Linked DNA regions of Lonchura striata. The protein of the gene in region 1 interacts with the protein of each later gene in a pairwise test. Links are inferred from orthologs where the notes say so. Each region holds a gene or a part of one and is shown in the gene's direction. Other genes may lie near its edges. The genes, in order: ARFIP2, MAL2 and CEP63.

Region 1 (7,373 bases):
ACACTTGAGGAAGCGACGCCTGCTCAGTCCCGGATTCATGTACAGCCCCTGGAAATTCGCCTTCCTGCGTCAGCACCGCATTGACATGAACTGGCGCAGTGGGGAGCTGCGGCCCCCCAAAGTAGGTCTGGGTGTCCCAGTGCTGACTCCAGGGAGCTGTGGTCCCCAGGGTGAGCCTGGGAGTGCTCCTGCCAGGGGTGGACCCTGGTGGGCTGAGGGGCTGGTGGGGGTCCCTCTGGGGACAGACCTCAGGCCCCTGGTGTGGGGAAGCTGGCGCAGGATCTGCCATGGGGAGCAGATCCGGCTTGTTCAGAGCAGTGGGACAGCAGAAATGAGATCTCCTGGGCCTGGAGAAGGGGGTCCTTTCATTTGCCCCTTTCCAAGGCCCCATCCAGGGCTGCAGCCAGCCTCAGCACCCAAGGAAAGTGCAGTGTCACAGGGCTCAACTGTGTTCTGTGCAGGGTCCCAGAACCCTGGTCATCTCTCCGTGGGGGTCCCTCCTGCCCCTGGACAGAGTCCTCACCACCCCTTCTCTTGCTGCTGGGTTCCTGAGCCTCCTACTCCCTGTTCTGCTGTAACCCCCGGCCCTGCAGCAGACACACCACACACCCCAGCTCCCCTGCCCTGCAGAAGCACCAGGGGGTGCAGGTGGTTTGGAGACCCGTCTGCCTTTCCTCCCCACAGCTCCTGCTACCTTCCCACTGCTCATTATGCTGGGGGATCCTGCAGGCTGGGTGGGGCCACACTGCCCCCCACACCCTCCTGTGCTCCCACAGGTACTGAAGGGCCACGACGACCATGTGATCACCTGCCTGCAGTTCTGTGGGAATCGCATAGTAAGCGGCTCTGATGACAACACACTCAAAGTGTGGTCAGCTGTCACAGGGGAGGTGAGTGTCACTGTCACCAGGCAAGTGAGTGTGGCATTGTCACTGGCGCCACAGGGGCTTGGGGCAGGGACCATCTCCCTGTGCTGGGCACAGCTGGGGCTACACCCTGACTGCTGGGGTCGGTTTGGGCCCGTTATGACAAGGACACAGAGTTGTGCTGCTCCTCTGTGCTGTTTTGGGGTGGGGGAGTGCGAGAGGCTCACCTGCCTCTCCCGTCCTGTTCCCCACAGTGTGTGCAGACGCTGGTGGGCCACACTGGGGGGGTTTGGTCCTCCCAGATGAGGGACAGCATTGTCATCAGCGGCTCCACTGACCGCACACTCAAGGTGTGGAACGCTGACAGCGGCGAGTGCGTGCACACGCTGTACGGACACACCTCCACCGTGCGCTGCATGCACCTGCACGGCAACAGGTACGGGCTGTGGGTGCTGTGTGAGGGAGGACAATATCCACGGGGAGGCTGTTAGCCCCAGGCTGCCCTGGCAGCTGGGCCCCAGGTGTCCCCTCACCCGCAGGGTGGTGAGCGGCTCGCGGGATGCCACGCTACGGCTCTGGGACATCGAGACGGGGCAGTGCCTGCATGTGCTGATGGGCCATGTGGCAGCCGTGCGCTGCGTCCAGTATGATGGCAACAAGGTGGTCAGTGGTGCCTACGACTACACAGTCAAGGTGTGGGACCCCGAGAGCGAGAGCTGCACCCACACGCTGCAGGGGCACACCAACCGTGTCTACTCACTGCAGGTACGGCCCTGCACACATTCCCTCCTGCTGCTCCCCTGCCCTCCCTGCTCCCTGCAGGTACAACCTGCCTTCCTGCTGGCTTGCTATCTCTCCCCTGCCTTCCAGTCATGGGTACAAGCTGTGCCAAAGGTCCCACATGTGCTGTAGGGACAAATAGGCTGTGCGTGTGTCGTGCAAGGCCCTGTGAGCTTTGCAGGGACATGTGTGCCCTGAAGGGGCTGTATCTGCCCTGCAAGGACACATGGACCCTGTTTGTGTCCTTTGGGGACAGTCTCTGCCCCCCTGATCCCACTTCCCACACACATATGCTGTGGACACAAACACTCGTCCATGCCCCTTCCCTGGAGCATTACAGCTCAAAAAGCCAAGAGGCACATGAGCCTGTGTCTCAGCTGCTGAACTGGGGTCGCTGGTGCTGGAACTGGGCGTGCTGTATCCCAGACTAGGGAGTGCCGGAGCTGTGGGCTGTGCCCCAAACCAGGGACACTCCTGTCCTCGATCCTGAGCTGGACCCCTTCTCTCTGGCAGTTTGATGGGACACACATCGTGAGTGGGTCCCTGGACACATCAATCCGCGTGTGGGATGTGGAGAGCGGGAACTGCCTGCACACGCTCATGGGGCACCAGTCACTCACCAGCGGGATGGAGCTGCGTGACAACATCCTGGTGTCCGGCAACGCCGACTCCACCGTCAAGATCTGGGACATCAAGACAGGGCAGTGCCTGCAGACGCTGCAGGGTGAGAGGGGATACCTTACCCCTGGGGGGCAGTGGGATGTTCTCTCCATCAGGGGGCTGGGAAGGGGCAGGGCTGGGAGGGAGCTCCTTGCCCTTGAGACTGGGCTGGCTGTAAGCTGCCAGCTGTGGCAGGATCCATGTCAACAGCAGTGGGTGGCCCAGGTATGCATGGGGCTCATGGGTGCCTCCCCATAGGTCCCAGCAAGCACCAGAGTGCCGTCACCTGCCTGCAGTTCAGCTCCAAGTTCGTGGTGACCAGCTCGGATGACGGGACAGTGAAGCTGTGGGACCTGAAGACAGGGGAGTTTGTGCGAAACCTGGTGGCCCTGGAGAGCGGGGGCTCGGGTGGGGTGGTGTGGCGCATCCGCGCCTCCAACACAAAGCTGGTGTGTGCTGTGGGCAGCCGCAATGGCACCGAGGAGACCAAGCTGCTGGTGCTGGACTTCGATGTGGACCTTAAGTGACCCCGGCCAGCCCGGGGGTCCCGCGGGAGGGGTGGCCCCGGCGCAGGCGCTGGCCCCCGTGGGCAGGACAGAGGGGAGGTCGGGCCGGGCCTTATTTATATGCGCGGGAGTGCCCGGCCGGGCCTGCAGGAGCATGTTTTGTACACGGAATATATCAATTTATTTCTGTACTGGGGCTTGTGCTTACCTGCCTTAAGGCCTGTCCCGGACCCGCAGCTCACGCCCTCTGCCCAGGGGCTGCAGCAGGGAGAGAAGAGGCCAGGATCTCCTAGGGACCACGCATACACACGCCCTTAGCTGGTGGGCACTGGCCTGGCAGCACCTGACATCTACCCCCACCTTGCCCCCTCCCCCTGCCCTGAGTGCCTGCTCTGCACCTGACAGTTGCAGTGAGAATGTTCAGGGCCCTGCAATGTCCCGGTGATCACGGGCGTCCTGTAGGGAGACATTTGTCTCCCAGTGAGGTGCAATTCCCTGGATTCCCTGTTGTGCCATGGGTTCACACAGCAGCGAACAGGGGCCAGGGCTCTGGTGCCCTCCCCACGTGTCACACTAAGCCATTACTGTGAAGATGTTTTATTGGTATTCACACTCCACTTCCCAGAAATCCACAGCCAGGAGGGCTAGGGGGGGCCTTCCCCTGTTCCTGTGCCCCCCATCCTCGGTGCCCTGCATAGCCCAGCCGCTGCTCGGGGCTCCGGGGGCCCAGCGCGGATGCTGCTCCAGCCTGGAGCTCCAGCGCAGCAGGGCTGCTGCTGCGTCCGACGGCCGCGGGGAGCTGCGGCCAGGGGCTTCTACGTGCCGGCAGCGGGAGCGTCTTCCGCGGGGCCCGGGGCCGGTCCAGGGGAGGCCGGCAGTGCGGGCGGCCCCGCCGCAGCGCCGTGCTCGGCTGCGCGGCGCTGCAGCAGCGCCGGCACCAGTCCCACGTAGGCGCCCATCAGGCGGTGGTTGGCGCGGACCAGCCTCGCGGCGCAGCTGTCCAGGCACGACTCCTGCGGGGCACGGCGGGGGTCAGGGGGCGCGGGGGCAGCCGGCCCGCGGCCCCCGGGCCCCGCTCACCTCGCGGCCCGTGAGCAGCCGGTAGTTGAGGTTGCAGACGCAGTGGCGGAAGCAGAGCTCGGTCATGCGGTTGTAGACCAGCAGGAAATCCCGCAGCTGGGGAGCAGGCGCGGATCACACCGGGCGGAGCCGCTCCGGTACCCCCGAAACCCACCGCGAGTCCCGGCGCGCCCCCCGGCCAGCCCGAGTCCCTTCCAGGGCCCCGCCGGCTCTCCTGCGACCCCGGCACCTCGCGACCCCCCAGCTGGAGCCCCGGGACCCCCCCGAAGGCCTGGCGGGACACGCCGCCCCCGGCTCACGCTGCGGAGCTGCTGCCGGTGCTCGGCCGCCGGGTCCATGCCGGGCCCGGCCCGGGCCGCTCCCGCCGCACTCCCCGCGCCGTCACATCCGCCCGGCTCAGCCATGACGCCACCTCCGGGCCCTGACGGCACTTGCGGCGCGCCCGGGCCGAGCGGAGCGGGAGCGGCGCGGGGGGCCCGGCGGGGCCGGGGCGCAGGTGGGGCTGGGGGGCACCGGGGGGCCGCGCACGGCCAGCGGGGCCTGGCCGAGAGAGCCCCGGGAGCCGGGCTGCGGCCGCCGCCGCCCGCTCGGGCCGGCTCCGCCGGGAGCGGCCACCGGGGGTTCCCTCGGAGGTCGGTCCCGTCCCGGGGCCTTGCCGTGCGTGGCTGCGGAGGGCTCCGTGCGGGCGCTGCCCCCGCCCGCCGCGGGGGCTGTGGGGCTGCGGGGCCGTTCCGCGGCCGGGATGGCCCCGGGCGGTGACAGCCTCTGCCCGCAGGGCTCGCCCCCCGCGCTGGGCCGGGCCCTGTCCCCGCCGGGGAGGGCACAGGTCGCAGGTAACGGGTTCTCGGGAGCCCGCCCCGGGCCCCGCCTGCTGTCGAATGTGCCCGGACCGGTCCGAGCGCAGCGGGCCCCCTCCCGCTCTCCTGCGGACGTGGCTCCCGGCGCCGCGCTGCGCGCTGCCAGCGCCGCTGTCCCGGGGCACGGACTGCGGGGATCCCGGCAGGGTTCGTGAGAGGGGGCACGGAGTGCGGCCCGAGGGGCGGGGGAGCCCTGGAGCCCTGGCGTGATGGTGTGGGAGCCGCAGCGGTCTCTGGGATGTGCCACCCCACGGGTCGGTTCTGGGGGCCGGGGGTGTCCCGAGAGACGGTGGGGCCGGGCTGGGAGTGGCTGCAGGAGGCAGCGGGCAGCCTCTGCTCGGTGCCAGCGGCTGCCGATGTGGGCCCTTCTCTCTGCGCCGAAGCCTCCTGCTGTCCCAACACGGCCCCGCAGTACCGGCTGTGGCTGCTGCCCCCGGCCGGGCGGTGGTCCTGGCCCCAGCACCACGGCCGTGTCCCTGCAGGCCCTGAGGATGTCGGACGGGATCCTGAGCAAGGCAGCCACCATGGAGATCCCCATCAGCAGCAACGGGGACACCAGCAGCCTGCCCGAGGACGATGGCCTGGAGCAGGTCTGGAGCTCGGGAACCCTAGGGGGTGTTTGGGTTGTACCAGGGCTGTGCCATCTCTGCCTCTCAGCCCCTGTGCTATTCTGCCCCCCAGGACCTGCAGCAGGTGATGGTGTCAGGACCCAACCTGAATGAGACCAGCATTGTGTCAGGTGGCTACGGGGGCACGGCTGAGGGCATCATCCCCACCGGCACCATCAAAGGTAGTGGAGTTGGGCTGGGAGGGAATGGGGCCATCGTGGGACCAAGGGGCTCATCTCTTCTCAGTGCCCCTGACTCATGACACGAGGCTGTGCCACAGCCTGGCCGAGGTGGCTCCTGGGTGGGCTTGGGTTCTGTGTAGGGGCAGCATGTGGCAGTGTGCACTGATGGCAGAGGAGGGGCTGCTGCCCCAGCTCCGCTCTCCCTGGGCTGCTCCCCTGTCACAGGGTGGGCTCTGCTGGGAATTTCCATCCCCTTGGTCAGGACATCCCCGTGAGATTCTGAATCCCTGCTTGGTGGAGGATCCCTGCTGTGTCCTGGTCCATGTGCAGCGGGAGCTCTGGAGTGTGCTGGGGATGAGGGGGCAGGCAGGGGCACAAGCCCACACTCTGCTGACCCCTTCTTGCTGTCCCAGTCAGACCGGGCCACAGCGGGGCCAGCTGGGCTCTGCACCCTGGGAGACCTGGCAGCACTGTCCTTGTTCCATGCAGATCTCTCCCTGAGAGATCTTCCCCAGGGCCTGAGGAAGGTCCATATGGGCAGAGAGGGAGACTGCACGGGTGTGCACTTCCCCGGAGCACCGCCACTGCTGGCCCGGTGTCCCTGTGTCTCTGTGTCCCAGCGTGCTCGTGATGCCAGGCCTACCCAGCCCTTGGAGTGCAGGGGTTCCTGCACAGGGGCCAGAGGTGGGGGTTTCCTGGGCTGGGGCATCCGTCTGTGAGGCTGTGGCAGTGTCTCTGGGTTCCAACGCTCACCTGCTGCCGTCGCTCTCCCGCTGCCGCCCGCCCGCGCACTCGCCCCTGTCCCTTGCCCCCCCGTCCCTCTGCCCTGGCTACCCCACTGTGCCATGCCCTGTGCCCCCATCCTGTCCTGCCCCACACTGCTCAGCCCCCGCAGCCCCCCCATTTCCAGGCTCTCTTGTCCACCCTCACCCCCCCCGAGGACCGTCGGTTGCCCCCAGCGCGCCTGCTGCCCGTAGGATGGCCCGCCCGGCCGCGGCTCCCGCAGGTACTGCGCCCCCCACTCCACCCCGGGCGTCCCTTGGGTCTGGGGGCCCCGGGCCTCCCTAGGGACGTTGGTAAGAACCCCCATGGCGGCTGTGTCATGGCCAGAGCCTGGTCCTGGGGCTGATCCTTGTGCTGGGACAGACGACAGCACTGGTGGGCCCAGGGGTTTCAGAGGTGGGTCCTGGCCAGAGGGGCCCACCCTGCCCCTGGAGCCCACCTGAGGGGCTCCCAGTACTACTGGGCAGTGTTCCCCCTGTGTCCAGCCTGGTGACAGCAGTCGGCAGGAATGGGGCAGGGCTTGGTGCAAGCAGATATGGCTGGGCTGGGATCTGTGCCCCTGTGTGGGACCCTCAGGGGGGCTGGCAGGAGCAGGGTCCTCATCACAATGCCTGTGAGCCAGTGCTGGGCATATGCCTGGAGCTGGGCATGCTGTTGTAGAAATAGCAGCTCCAGGACAAGGGCTCTGGAGGCTGGGGCTGCCCGTTCCCCGTGGCTGCCGCCCTCGTGCAGCTGGTGCCATATTCCTGTCCCTGTGCCAGGCCCTGGGCTGCACCCACCACCCCCAGGACCCCCGCCTGGTGGAGAAGAGGTCGTGCGCGGCATTGCCGTTGAGAAGTTCGACATTGTCAAGAAGTGGGGGATCAACACCTACAAGGTGAGTGTGAGGGGACACCAGTGGGCCTTCCTGCTCCCCTCCCATGAGGAGCTGCTCTCGGTGTGGCTCGGGGGACTCACAGGCGCCTTGGGGCCCTGTGTCCCCCTGCTGCAGTGCACCAAGCAGCTGCTCTCGGAGCGCTTCGGCCGGGGGTCCCGCACAGTGGACCTGGAG
Region 2 (7,252 bases), on another chromosome or scaffold:
CTGTGCTGCATCTGCAAAGGCAGCACTTGGCACAGCCTCCTTCAGCCCCCCTGCAACCAGCTCAACTGGTCCTCTTTTATACCATGAAGCTGGAAGGGGACAGGATAAAAAAATGTATTGCTGCTGTGCAGTCTGTGCACTGTTTTCCCTGGGCAATTCTGTCCTAAACAATCAGTGCTATTTACTCATCCCTCATCTCCAACAATATCATGCTCCCAGTTTGTACTTCTGAGACTTTAACACTCTCTTCTGAGGACAATCCATGCAAACCATTTTTCCTGGCTCACCTATGCCAAGAACAGAACACTTGACTTCTTGAGACATTTTCCCATTAGGTAACTTGGCTTTGCTCTGCCATGTCCCTCTCTACCCACCTTGCCTCCTGTACCATCTCAGGTCAGGATCTTCCTCTTTGCTATTAAGAGATTCTGCATTTTTACTTTTGCTGCACCCTTACACAGCTAAAAGGAATTTCTTAAAGTAAATAAAAGGAAAATTGGCCCTTGGCATGCTATACTGTATTGCTAGAGACCAGCAGTGCCACCAAGTCAAAAATGAACCGCTGGTAAGCTTAGGAACATGGAAACAATGTTATGAGAACAGGTGAGGAACCTCAGCCTGACCTCCCTAACACCAGCTGACTCCAGCAGGGTCCCTGGCTCTGTGCCAGCCTCCAGCTGTGTGGTGCCTGTGTGAAGGGATCCTCAAACACCCCTAACCAGCCAGCAAAGGATTCCCTGCTTCAAAGGGCACCCTGAGAGCCAAAGCAGACAGGAAAATGCCTTTCATCCCATGGCTCTGGGCACGGAAGACACTTCTGCAGGAAGAGGCCATGTCCAAAGTACCACCATAGCATTATGAGCCAGCCAGAAAATGCTGCTGAGAGCAGCTCTGAGACTGCTTGAAGCTGCTCCAGGGACTGGTTTGGTAACCAGCCATCCCTGGCACTGGTGGACCAAACAGGTGGCACATTTATCTTCATCTCCTCAGCACACATCCCAAGCTCAGTTTAACTGGATTAAGTGAGAAATTTCAACAGTTGTTTTCCTCTTGGTGCAAGAAGGGGCAACATGCATTCACAAACTTGGCCCTGCTTGTTAAAAAAATTAAAACTGTTGCACTGCCTCACAAGAAACCTCAACAATGTGGTGGTATTTGCACACTAATTCATAATATGCATAGATCCAACCATGATCCTGAAGTTCTGTTACCACTTACTAAATACACTACAACAAATGATGCTAAAGGCATTCCTTATCATTCATCTTATGCAAGCCAGTTTTATGCCAATTTAATTTCACTGGCTAAGGGGTAATGACCCCAGAGTTTGTACCAGTGTGAGATCAGAATCCTGTATGAAATTTCCAGGAGCATGCTAAATTATTTCATCCATAAACAAAAAGCCTGTGTTGCATGATCAACTCCAGGCTTTCTATTTTTGATATGTAACTAACTTAGGAGAGTTTGTATTCCACATTAAGAAATAGCAGCTTTGCAAATCTAAAAGAAACACAGACAACTATTAGGGGCAACTTCCTCCAGAACAAGAAAGAAGCGGATCCTGTCTAGAAAACCTTGCCTAGTTCCACTCTGGCTTGGGGAATCTGTTTGTGCATAAACAGAGCCACAGGAAAACAGGGTTACTGTCAATTATTTGGTTTGTATTTTCCATCTCTTTGACCATTTTGGCAGACCACCCTGGTGCACTCCATAACATAGGACATGAGATAACATCTCTTCCTGAAATGCTTCTGATAACATAGATAAGGCATTAAGGACCATGAGTTCTGAAATTGGCATTACTTTCACCTGTTATCTAGTATCCTTACTAATATTCAGCTCTTCCAGAAGTATCAATGCCATACCTCACAAAAGGTAGTCTGAATCTTGCTGCATGTGACTGCTGTGTAATTTTCATATCCAGTATGATGTACACATGTACACTGCTAAACCAGCAACTGGTTTAGTAGTTCTGTGACAATGCTTCCTTTACATTAGACTGCCATAGCATTAGAACATGAAGGGAATAGAGCTTTTTACAGCTGCTTAAGAGCAATTTTTACTCCTTGTGGTTGTATAGACAGACTTTCCTACTCACAATGAATCAATATACTTCTGCCTACCTATTCACTTTGGTGGACTGGAAGCTGCATCATTACTTTACCTTCTAACATGCCAAGATGCAATTAGTTATACAAAAATGCTATTAAAAAGCAGTTAAACACAAACATGTGCTTTTGCATGGAAACTTAATCTCTTTAAAAAATCCAGTTCTTTAAAGATTCAAACAGTACATGAATCAGTATAAAAGCAATCCCACAGGGCATGCAGCACATCTTGCCTGAACACAGCAAAAATAATTTAAAGAGACACTTAATTTAAGCTTTAGGAAAAAGCAGAGAATTAGGCTTCAGGAAAAAGCACAGCCAAAAATCTACTCAGTAGATCTATACCTAATTGTGAAAGTGAAATTTGGACTTTTTTGTTAGAACCAACTAAATTTCAATAAAATAAGTGTTATAAGGAACGTGCAAGTAAAAAGAAATAGGATTTACAAGCACATGGTATGTAATCATTAGTAAAATCTAGTACTGCTAGGAGTTCACACAGATTAACTATGCAGCTAAATAATAACACTGGAAATGTTTATGACCAAGTATTATTTGTACTTCCTTTGTGTAAGATAAGGACAATCACATTTCTTGTTCTGAATCATAAACCAGCCCTGTTTTCCACTGTCTCAGACTTCTCCCTCTGCAGGGCAGTCTTAACAGATTTAGGGCCAGACTGTGACTTTTATTTGACATATGGTCTCCAGATAACAATCCCAAGAACAAACCTCCTACACCTAATCACTTATGCACAAGTATCAATCCCATTCCTTTCCAAAACAGCCAAAACAGGTCCTGTAGGCATGCACTTCCAGAGCCTTAAGTCTTTTCCTGAAGATAAAAGGATGGAACACAAGGTTCACTTTTCAAATAGGTCTAGAGGAAAAAAATAATATATCATTGGATAGGCAATGGGGTAAAGCACTCAGAAAAGAGGGGAGGCTGTGCCTTCTTCAGCCTAATGGGGATTCAATCCAGCATCTCCTACTTAAGAGTTCAAGAGGCATCCAGCTACAAGAGGCATAGAGATGAAGACAGAGCACAAGAAAGAATGTGAACTTTTGCTTCTTCCTCCTTTAGATGCCAAGATTTCAAAGCCAAGCAATCATTAATGCATTTTAAAAGCATCACAAATCTATTTGTGTACGGAATGGTATGGCAGAAACACAGATGAGTCCTGTTTTATGGTGCCAACTGCTCTCCACCTAGGGCTTGGATTGGGGTGGGGAAGACAGGCATCTCAGGATGTGGCATTTCTTGTCATCACAAAAGCATACCCGAGAAACATCATGCATCGAAAAGAAAGGAATAAGGTCTTTATACCCAAGTCAGTTCAATCTCCAGAGCAGCTACATACACTTGCATGAAACCTTCTTAAAATGTTATCTCTAAAATCGCAGCCGTATGTGTGGAGTATGAACACTGAATGGGATAACATTGGGTGAAACAGTCTTGGTCATTCCAGAGGTAGCACATCTCAGCCTAAGGCACAACGGGAGAAATAAGTGAAGTGCTGCTGGATGGCATCTCCATCTGGAGAAGATGCTTGTATAAAGAAGCATAAGAAAATAAATGGATTATAAGTAGTCTCATGAATGTATACCTTTCTCTACCCCAAAGTTTTACAAACATTTTCTACTACTTTTAATCAGTGGTACACAGTTGAGCCAGACCGAGCAATAAGAAGATACAAATGAAATGTTTTCAATATTTTGAATGGATAACCTAGTAGGCGCCTTTAAATAAAACAGTGCAACGACTCAATTTCGAAGCCCGAACATCCGTAACCAGAAGGTAAATAAAAACCTTTTGCAAGCCGGCATTGGGAAATCACGCCCGAGTCCGGCTGGCCTGATTCAGGACTCGTGAATGCGGAGCGCCGCGCTGCCGTGAAGCCGGGAGGCAGTGGCCGGACACGGCCCGAGCCCGGCTCCGGCCCCGGGCCCGGCCCCGCTCCGGGCGAGGCGCGGCGGCTGCGGGGCGGGGCCGGGCCGGGCCGGGCCGGGCCGGGGGAGGCGCGGCCGGCCCGCCCGCACCTGCGCCGCCCTCACCGCCGCCTCCTCGCCCACCTGGCCGCGCTCGGCACGGCCGCCGCCGCCGCAGCAGCATGTTGCCCAGGGGAGCCTCGTCCATGCCGCCGCCTCCCAACCCCGCTCCCTACTTCCCGCCTCCGCGGGTCACGCTGCCCTCCGGCCTGGAGATCCTGCGCACCTTCTCGGGAGCCGTCATCTTCCTGGAGATCGTGAGTGCAGGGCCGCGGTGGGGAGCGCCAGGGCCTGCCGCGCCGCTCGCCTGCCATCTTGTGAGCGGGGCAGGGGCAGGTGCGGGGCCGGGGCTCCGCCCGCCCGGCTCGCTGCCCTCGGCCGCGGCCCGCACGCAGATGGGCTTCGCGGGGCTCCCTCAGCTGTCCGGGGCTTTGAGCCACGCTCTGCTCCCGACCCGAAAAGGCACCACGGAGAGTTACACCAGGTTCTGTCTGCGCGCCTGTTGCGCGTCCTCTGCAAACTCCTACGAGCGTGCTCAATGGCACGTGTGTGTTAGACCCCGCAGGAGTACGCAGGGCTGAGGACCTTTGAGCTGAGCTTGGATATGGCGCTCTGTGGTGCCACTGATTAATGGGTGATGAAAAACAAAAAAGCTTGGTAGAACCCCTCTGACTTTATTAATTTACTCTTTCCCGTACGGTCAGAGCAGAATACTACTTGGGTCCCAGACTGTGAGCTGGGTCCCACCTCACAAGCTTTAAAATTGTACCTGAGTAAGGAGCAAGCTGAAACTCGAAACACAAGTCCGGGCACTAAATCAGGCCCAGAGGCAGTAGGGACAAAAGGTTAGTTCAGCTGGCCAACCAATTGTACTCTGACAGGCAAGCTGTTGTGGACAGGTGTAGCGTGAGGGAAGTAGCACAACAGTGGGTGCTGAGATTAGCAGTCTCTACAGTACAGTTCTAAATTTATTTTTAAGGAACCCTGCAAGTCTGCACATTGAAAATACTGAAAGCATTTAATGTGTCTCTGTTTTTTGTTTAACAGACACTTTCTGCTATCCCTTTTGTTTCCTCACTGCCCATCACTCTCTGGTCACCAAGTAACAGACTTGCACCTGCAGTCTTATGAAACTAGAGAAAGTTTGGTTCTTCACAGATAAAAAAGGAACCCTAGAGAACAACTTGAACAGTAATACATAAACCCATGGGAGCTTTGAACTGAGACTAGCAATGCATCTTTACACATGTGCTGCTGCACCAGAGAGGAACCAACTTATTTTGTAGCAGGCATCTTTTGAAAGGTATCTCTTATCCAACTGTGATACAAAAGAAAGCTATCTGAATCTGAAAATGTAACCTCTGACTTCCTGGTTTGTAAATCTGTGGAATTCAAACAGGAAAGAAGTTACTTGCGCTTGGAAATATATTTTAGTTGACACTATTCAGCAGTTTGGATTATGAATTTAAATCTTTCTGTCATAAACAAACATACTTGGAGTGAATCATAATTGTCATCTATTTATGTTTTTTTATTAAGAGGCAGGATTTGCAGGAAGAAATAGTTGTGTTCCTTAGGCCAAAAGTTGATTAAGCCAGGGAAGCCTTAGAGTGTGTAAATTCTCCATCACCATCCCTAGCACAGTGTCCCTACCACTCATTTGCCGTGAGGAGTCTGCTGAAATGAAATTGGCACTGCTGAATTCTTCTCCAAGTTATGATGATTCTGGAAACTTCTATATTTTTCTAGTCTTTACAGCATAGTTTACAACTCACCTTATTCTGTATTCTAGGTTTTTTTCTTTTGTTTTATGCTTTCTGTCCTCCTTCAGCTTGGTATTACAAATATATTGAAAAAATGGGTGTCTTTTTATCTCCTTTCTGTATCTCATCTGATTAGGACTTCAAAGCGAAACATTATGAAATTGAATCCAAAGTAGTAGAAGTACATCCTTTTTGTGCTAATTTGCGTATTTAGAGAGAGATTTGTGTGTGTGTGTACTGTGTTTTCACATTTCTTATATTTTATTCAAAATTGCAGTAAGGATAAAATTTTCAGCAGGACACAAGTCACCTGGGTTTGTAAATCCCATTTTCAAGCCTATTTTAAGAACCTTTAGGAATTTCAGAGTGGCTTTGTATTTTCACCACTTAGTGCCTATCATTTCTGAGAGGAGGACTTGGGCTCTCCGAGTACTTTTGAAGTGTTTCTTCTTGGTTTCTAAGAGTCATCTGATGATATGTAATGTGTGATATCAGTTCTTAGGCAGAAAGTACTGAGTAAAAGCTGTCCAGTTTATTCTCTGTATTCCTTTCCTTGCAGCTGTTTGGAACAATAGTCTGGATTTTGGTCGCCTCTACCCAAATTCCACTGGCACTGCTGCAGGGATGGGTAATGTTTGTGGCAGTGACGGCGTGGTTCCTCTCCATTGTCTTCCTCTCTGTGTTCCTCTTTGGTTATGCAAATAGAATTGCTGTCAACTGGAACCAGGCGGTAAGATTTTTCATTTGTTTAAGGATTCCCTTTGTTTTATAAACTGAAAATTATTTAATGAGACGTGTCGATCCTAAGTCTTGGCACCTGGCTTTCTGCTTTAGCACAAAGTTTTTTCAAACAGGAATTCAAAACCAGAAAAAGAAAGAACAAGATTACAGAGGTGGCAGAGGAAACTGTTTTATGATGGAGGCTGAAGGAGCTTTTGAAGCTGTTTAATGGAGTACACTTGTCCTCTCTGAACACATAAAATGTATGAGCAGCAGGAAGAGCACTAACTTAAAAGGTGTGGAAAGAAATTGGTTTAAATGGCCAGGAATTATTGTGCACTGGGAATCAGAAAATACTTTCTGACTATTAGAGAAGTGGTAGTAACACCTCATGAATAATGAGATGTAGAAAGATATATCAAATATTATAAAGGAAAGGATGAATTTGTGAACATGCTGTGTGATATGGTTGTCTGAGGTAGCACAGACTGGACTTCAGCACCCAGAATATCCCCTCCAGTTCCTAAGAAAGTCTACTGGTGACTTTGGGTCAATTGCTCAAAGCTAGGGCAGCAATGGTGAGTGGCTGTTAGACCTTAAAAAAGACATCATAACCTGCACTATGATATATCTTAACATCTTATTAGGAGACTTAATGTCTTCATATTTCTTA
Region 3 (7,034 bases), on another chromosome or scaffold:
AGACAATAATCCCACTGAGAACTTCGAAATCAATTGCAATTTGAGACAGTAAAAACTTTTTAATCGTGTAGAAAACATTTAAGATCAGAATTGGCACCAACTTAAGAACAATTTAACAGAAAACATGAAATAATCTTATAAGCATGAAACATTTTGCACTTGGCTCTGAGATGTCAGAGCCTCTGCTATTTCACATTCAAGAAAGAAGCATTTTAAAGAAGCATTGTGAGCAGAACCACTGTTGGAATCTGAAAATCTGGAATGCTGTTTCCTCCTTAGGGCAGCTTATGACAGCAATGGTCAGCCAAAAAAATATTTTTATGTTGCATTCATGCATCCACTGTTAGAAATCCCACTGATTCACTAATTTCCTGTGGGTGGAACGTTTTCATGGAGATACTGGAGAGCCAAATCTGTCCACTTCATTTCTTGCTCTTTCACAGACTCAGTGGTGCCACCGTTGTCTTGCTCTGGTTCAGGGAGCTCATTCTGAGAACAAAACACAGGTAGAATGCATTCCACATGTAATACACTTTCTGCAAGCAGCAGGTTGTTATGATTAGTATGGATAGATACAAAACCCACAAACGAGACCAGAGGGTGCATCTGAACAATAAATATCATACATACTGATCCACTTAAAAATATTGCTGAGCCGCATCATGAACAGTATTCTTTTCATTTGAATATGGTTATTCTTTTAATTTGAATATTCATTTGAATGTGTTTAATCTGAAAGGTAAATTGTTTTCCAGGACCCTGGGGCCTTGCTATACACTCAGACTGCACACACAGTGAGGGAGAATATACAGCAAATGCAAAGTAAGTAAATAACAGTACAATGCATTTATTCCACTGTTTGTTTGCAATGTGCTGTTTCTGCTGTTGCCAAGAATACAAATACTGCAGACAAATGGTTCTGTAAAATGTTACTTTCTTATGGCAGGTTAGAAGTCCTTCCTGTCTGTATGCTGGAGTCAGGTGTAGCTGTGCTGGATCAACAGCAGAAGCCAGAACCCCCTGCCAGGTGTGCCCCAGAGCTGCTCACAGCACAGTAAAGGGAAGGAAAGTTTAACAGATTTCATTTTACTTCCTTCTATTATTTGTTCTCTGTCTTGCTGTATTGGTGTAGTCACACTGAGTGTGTGCTATTCTGCCAGATACCATTTGGGCAGGAATTCTGAGTTCTAGAATTTAGAGTTCTAGAATTTCCTCTGGAAATCCCAGCTGGAGCTAGATAAAGTGTTTCAGCTTTGAAAACAATGAATGATTTGAACACATCTGAGTTCCCAGAAATGGCTTGATTAAGCACTGGAGCAGATTCTCAGGACAGGCTCAAATACCACTTTCACAGCCATTCTGGTGCTCCTTTGCAATGTCCCTGAGTAAGTCCCCTGTGAATTCATGCTGTTTTCTCTATGTGATCAGAGCCAATCCCATCTCTGGGGATCTTTATATCCACAGCCAGGCCTTTCTATTGGTAGTTGGTGAGGCTTCCTTCTCTGAGGCTGTCATTGTATGTGACTGTAAGCCATCACGAGATGGCTCTAAGGGAAGAAACAATAATGTTTGGACTCAGGGTAAAGGCAATTGTCAACAAGGAACCTGTTTATGATACTCGGCTTGCCTAATAAAGGCAAAGGAGGGTTTGTGCTCTTTTAGCTGAGAATCACGCTTCTGCAAGATGCTTCCCTCAAGCCCAACTCTTGGCAGGAAAATGTGTGCTGTACATATGGACTTTGAGTTGTGCAGCTGCTCCTCGCCCTCTCTGAAAAGCCAGTGGTGGCAGGGCTGACGCTTGAACCATGCCACAAATTTGGAGATGTCTCTCTGCTGAAAGAAACCCCACAATCCCCACGGCTGCTTTATGTGAGCTAGCTGGGGTAAAGCTCGTGTACCAGAGAGAAAAAGGGAAAATCCTCAGCTACCTCTAACTTCCCTGTAAGTTTCAAAATAGCCAAGGAAAGGTGTCAGTGTGGGAGATCTGAAGCTTTAGCTCTGGGCTCTGTGGGATCAGCAGTAGCTTTTCCCCTGCTGCCCCTCTCTGACTTTGCAGCTGTACCCTGGATGAAAAGAGAGGTGCCATGCCTTGGACACATCACCACAGGCAAGAGTCCTGCTGCACCTGCCAGTCCTTCACTGCTGTCCCGGAACTTCCAACAGCAACACTGAATCTGGAAAAGACTGCTTTGAAACACTTACGAAAATGTCTCAGCTTCTTTTAATGGCATTGCAGGAAGCAGATATAAAGTGTAACCAAGACTGGAACTGTATGTGAGACTGATCCTCTGCTCTCCCAACAACCAGGAAAGTACCTCAAACACCAGGAACAAGAAAGGGAAGCAGAGAAAAAGGATGATTCTACTTCTCCCTGATGCCAAACCTAGGAGAGTGCAATGGGAAAGGAACTCCAGTTCTGAGAGGATTCAGCAACTGGTCAGGGGACAAGCAACAGAAGCATCCATGTCCTCATGCACTCAGGAATGACTGGCATATAGGGCACAGAAGGAGTCCCTTCCGTGAGAGACTGGATCTTCCGTGGAGATCCAGGAGCCTCTTGTACAAATTAGCCGCACCACGAGGAACATTCTGTGCCTTTTCTTGGAAGGGACTGTGATGAACGCAGCAGCCTTAACTCAGATTGATAAGTAGCAATTCACCTACCAGAGGGATGGCCACATCCTCGTAGGGCAATTTATCTTCCCTCCACGCATCATCGATCAGATCCAGGATCCTGCCATCCCTCTGCACCTCGCTGTCCATCGTCACAGCGGCGAGAGCAGCTAAATCTGTGACACAAAGCAGATGCTGTTTTAGCAACATCCCCAGCCAAGGAGCTGGAGTCTGGACTATTGGCTTGCTCCAGTTTTGATGAAATCCATATGAAATTTAAACTTACAAGGATACCTTGATTTCCCTAATCCACACAAAAAAGGGTTATAACCACATAGAACAACTTCATCTGAAAAGAACTCTATCAAAGTGAATTGCAGACTGATATGCACTGGAAATTAATATATAAAACCAGATGGTTATTACTGATATTTACATGTATTTTATATCTACTGACTGACTTTTAGAAGTCTAATTTGAGTGAGTTTGAGCACCTAGAGCTGCTCAGAAGCCTTTGCTGGCTGCTGGCTTACAGCTCCTGAGCAGTGACGTGCCTCACCTGTCTGGGAGAGTCACAACAAAGGACTTCAGGGTACCCAGAATTCTGCCCGAACCTGAAGTGCAGGAAACCGGTGAAAGAGAAGCAAAACGAGACCCATCTTTCACCCGCATCTCCTATAATTACTCCAGACTGTTTAACTGTACTCTGCCCTCCTTGAAGGATCACCTCAGGCCCTCGCCCCGGTGTGATGCTGCGGGGCGGCAGCAGCAGGCAGCCCGACCCTGGCGGGTGTGAGAGAACGGGCACTCGTTCAAAACCGAGCCAGGCCTGGCACTCGCCGGCTGCCGGAGCCGCGATGTGGGCGGCGATGGGCACGGGGCTGAGCGCACCCCAGCCCCGGCGCGCTGCGCTCCCTGCCTCTCCCGGCCAGCACGGCTCCGTGTTCCGCGGTGTCCCAGGGCTGTGTCCCAGGGCTGTGTCCCAGGGTTGGGTTGTGTCCCCGCGGTGTCCCAGGGCTGTGTCCCAGGGTTGTGTCCCAGGGTTGGGTTGTGTCCCCGCGGTGTCCCAGGGCTGTGTCCCAGGGTTGGGTTGTGTCCCAGGGCTGTGTCCCAGGGTTGGGTTGTGTCCCAGGGCTGTGTCCCAGGGTTGTGTCCCAGGGTTGGGTTGTGTCCCCGCGGTGTCCCAGGGCTGTGTCCCAGGGTTGGGTTGTGTCCCAGGGCTGTATCCCAGGGTTGTGCCCCCCTGTCCCCGCGCTCCCCAGCCCGCCCTACCCTGCCCATCTCCGCGGCCGCTGTTGCGCAGGCGCGGCCCCAGCGCATGCGCAGCGCTGCCGGGGCGGGGCCGGGCCGTGCCCGCTGCCAGGGTGGGAAAGGCGGGAAGGAGGGAGGGAGGAAGAAGGAACGGAAGAAGGAAGGGAGGAGGGCGGCTCGGCCAGCCAGCGCCGGGGTGTCGGGCAGCCCGCAGCGGAGCTCCCCGGGGCGCGGCGCCGGAGGGGCTCGGGCAGCGGAGCTGTGCCGCGGCGGGCGCGGGGCAGGCGCTGTGAGGGCTCGGCTGCGGCTGGGAGCAGCGGCGGGAGCGGGGAGTGCCGGCCGGGCCCGCTGGCCCCGGCCGCTGCACGGACCTAAGCGGCACCAGGGCCGGACATTAGGAGCAATTCCTTCACAGAACGGGTGATTAGATACTGGAAAGGGCTGCCCAGGGCGGCGGCGGCGGCGTCCCCATCCCTGGAGGTGTTTAAGGAAAAGACTGCACGCGGCACTCGGTGCTCTGGGCTGGGTGACAGAGTGGGGATCGGTCACAAGATTGGACTTGATGGTCTCAGAGGACTTTTCCGAGCTCAGTGACTCTGAGATTCTCGCCCTGGCGAGGGCTGGTTCACTTCGGGCTCCTGCCGCAGGTGCCGTTCCTGCCGCTGGCAAGCGGAGCTCGCCCGTGGTATTGCTTTTGGGAGCTCCTTTTGTGTTCATTGTAAGCATGCTTCCAGCAACGCTTTAAGATTGCATCTTTCTGTGTTTCTAAGTGCGAAGTAATCCCAGTCTTGTCGCATGGGCACTATTCTTAAGTCCTCCTGTGTATTGTAAAGTTCTCTCCACTTCACTCTGCTACAGTTCTGCCTTGAGCTGGAATGCTAAACCTTTTTTATTTTTAAATGTGTTGTCTTGTTTTGGACTTTTTTTTTTTTTTTTTCAAATACTTCACATTTCTTCACTTTCAGAGGTGATCAGCCAGCTTTCCTTCCTTCAACTGTAGTTAATGAAGGAGATTGTTTCCTCTTCTGGGTCTTTACTCAGGTTCCTGTAACTTGCACGTTGCAACTTGCAAGCATGAGAGGCCAAAATGTAATACTAAGTCAGCAAACTGTACGTAGCATAGAACTGGCTAGAGGTGTCTGATTTTAAGGCTTTTCCCCAAAATCTGGCTATGCCAACTGTGGCTGTGCCTCCCATGGGAGCGTCCAAGGCCAGGTTGGACAGGGCTTGGAGCAACCTGGGATAGTGAAAGGTGCCCCTGCCCATGGCAGCAGTTTAGCATGAGATGGCTTTAAGATCCCTTCCAACCCAAACTGTTCTGGAATTCTATGCTGTCTGTCTCCTCATCTCTCTGCCCACTGAAAATTGATTCTGTGTAGGTGTGATTAGAATGAAAGAGGAGAGCTGCTACTGTCTAATGTCTGCTGTGGCCACCTGGAGAGCTCTTGGAATGCTGTCAGCAGCTCAGGGGATCTGCTCATCTGCTCTCCTCAGCACCCTGCCCTCAGCAGAACCACAAAGTTGTTCTGCATACTGATTGAGTTTTGTTACAGCACCAAAGACAGATGAAACAGTGTCAGAATAGGAATAGGATTTTTCTCTGTGCATTTTTTATATGGCTGTGGTTTAAAACACTGCTCCCAAGGACAGGTTTTAATCTCTGAGTTGTGTTTTTAAGTGCTGTAGGAGCACGATAGAAGATTCTTTGGGAAAGAGAATGAAGCTGAGCCTGCATTTGTCAAAGTCTCCCTTGCTGTGACCTGTTCCCCTTTTGCTGATTGCTTAATAATGTTATATTAATCTTTGAGGAAAGATGGTGGAAGAATTAATCTTCAGTACTTGGAAAATGTGTAGATTTTGGAAACAGAAATTTGTGTTAATAGCTCTGGACAAGTTAACCATTTTTATGTTAGCTGCAGTTTCATGAAGGAGATATTGAAATAAATTCTGGCTTCCTGGCTCTGGTTGCGTGGAAAATTTTTATTCCCCATTTTTGGCTTTAATGTAAACTCTTCTCACTTTCACCACAATATGAAATTTCTTTGGGTATGCATGTGTTTGTTACTTAAAAGGTGAATTTTTAACTGAAGCAATGTACTGCTACTATAAAGCTGTTCAACTTATTTTCATAATTTAAGAGGAAATTTTAAGGAATTTATGTTTTCTTAAAATTCCCACAACTGTATGAAGAGCCAGTGTGTTCTGAATGCTGTGGTAAACTACATGGTCTCTTTAAGCTAGTCTATAATAGAGGCCTGGAAAATATGTAATTTATGGATGAATTCTTACTGCTACTTGCTGGTGTTTTCTCTCTGAAGTGACAAACTTTGAAATCCAAATGTTCCTGTTTCTCCACATGCTGGTGCTCCCAGTAGATCTACCAGTCCTTCTGTTGAGTTCACACAAGTGCAGAGTCTAATTGCTGCTCTCTGAATTTATTAGATCACATGATTATATCACTTCAATTTGGTAGTGTTGGATGATAGCATTGGGTATATTTTTCTGATAGAAAAATCTGTTTTCCTCTGTTTGGCTTGTAAGTTCATGAAGGTGCCATTGTTTTCCTCACCTGTAATTCCATATTCTTTGTATGCTTTTTGACTTCTGTGCTTTTTGGGCTTCCACTTTTCCTGCAGTTGGATGGAGAAGCAGCCTGGTTTGTGCATTACCATGGGTGACCACTGCTTTCCTGTACTTCCCTAGTACTGAAGCCACCAGGATTCAGTGATGGAGGCTTTGCTGGAAGGAATGCAAAGAAATGGGCAGGGGAGGTATGTATGCAACTGTACACAGCAGTCATTCCAAATGATTTAAGTGTTAACCTTGCCTCTTATTCAGAATAAATCCTCTGGTGTAAGTGTGCAGTGGCCCTCAGCTGCTGCAGAAGCGAAGTCACTGGGGGAGCTGGCTCTGTGCTAAACCCTGCTTATAGTCTTAATTGTCAGAAATTTAGTTGTACATCTTCCTGAAACCTCAGCCTCTTTTTCTCAGTTGTTGTTGTAAACTATTCTTACTGTCCAACATCAGGAGCAGTAGTAAATAGAGTTGTGAATAAATATTTATTTTGTAACAGCCTCGCAAGGTTAATGAGATGTGACTTTGTTATCTGATTTCACTGAAAACATCTGATTATTTCCTGCTTGTGTTGAAACTGCAGAGTCCCACTCAGC

What was found.
Region 2: the proteins of ARFIP2 (region 1) and MAL2 interact in binary tests that used the Homo sapiens proteins (3 or more experiments, as listed by UniProt). The two-hybrid records come from large-scale screens. The link is inferred for Lonchura striata from reciprocal best matches to the Homo sapiens genes ARFIP2 and MAL2.
Region 3: the proteins of ARFIP2 (region 1) and CEP63 interact in binary tests that used the Homo sapiens proteins (3 or more experiments, as listed by UniProt). The link is inferred for Lonchura striata from reciprocal best matches to the Homo sapiens genes ARFIP2 and CEP63.

Annotation. Positions count from the first base shown.
Region 1 is NC_134604.1:116,966,909-116,974,281, reverse strand, and holds the start of ARFIP2 (arfaptin-2), read left to right. Parts: upstream 1-4,304; 5' UTR 4,305-4,388; intron 4,389-5,231; 5' UTR 5,232-5,240; coding exon 5,241-5,339; intron 5,340-5,430; coding exon 5,431-5,539; intron 5,540-6,434; coding exon 6,435-6,545; intron 6,546-7,083; coding exon 7,084-7,199; intron 7,200-7,313; coding exon 7,314-7,373. Other genes in the region: RRP8 (ribosomal RNA-processing protein 8), read left to right, coding at 1-121, 777-890, 1,121-1,302, 1,406-1,631, 2,160-2,370, 2,565-2,833; TIMM10B (mitochondrial import inner membrane translocase subunit Tim10 B), read right to left, coding at 3,628-3,825, 3,893-3,988, 4,192-4,230. UniProt on the Homo sapiens protein: Plays a role in constitutive metalloproteinase (MMP) secretion from the trans Golgi network. May have important functions during vesicle biogenesis at certain cargo subdomains, which could be predominantly utilized by secreted MMPs, such as MMP7 and MMP2.
Region 2 is NC_134603.1:14,192,629-14,199,880, reverse strand, and holds the start of MAL2 (protein MAL2), read left to right. Parts: upstream 1-4,158; 5' UTR 4,159-4,218; coding exon 4,219-4,353; intron 4,354-6,418; coding exon 6,419-6,589; intron 6,590-7,252. UniProt on the Homo sapiens protein: Member of the machinery of polarized transport. Required for the indirect transcytotic route at the step of the egress of the transcytosing cargo from perinuclear endosomes in order for it to travel to the apical surface via a raft-dependent pathway.
Region 3 is NC_134612.1:6,433,638-6,440,671, reverse strand, and holds the start of CEP63 (centrosomal protein of 63 kDa), read left to right. Parts: upstream 1-3,945; 5' UTR 3,946-3,977; intron 3,978-4,215; exon of another isoform or gene 4,216-4,582; intron 4,583-6,500; 5' UTR 6,501-6,591; coding exon 6,592-6,635; intron 6,636-7,034. Other genes in the region: ANAPC13 (anaphase-promoting complex subunit 13), read right to left, coding at 364-489, 2,665-2,763. UniProt on the Homo sapiens protein: Required for normal spindle assembly.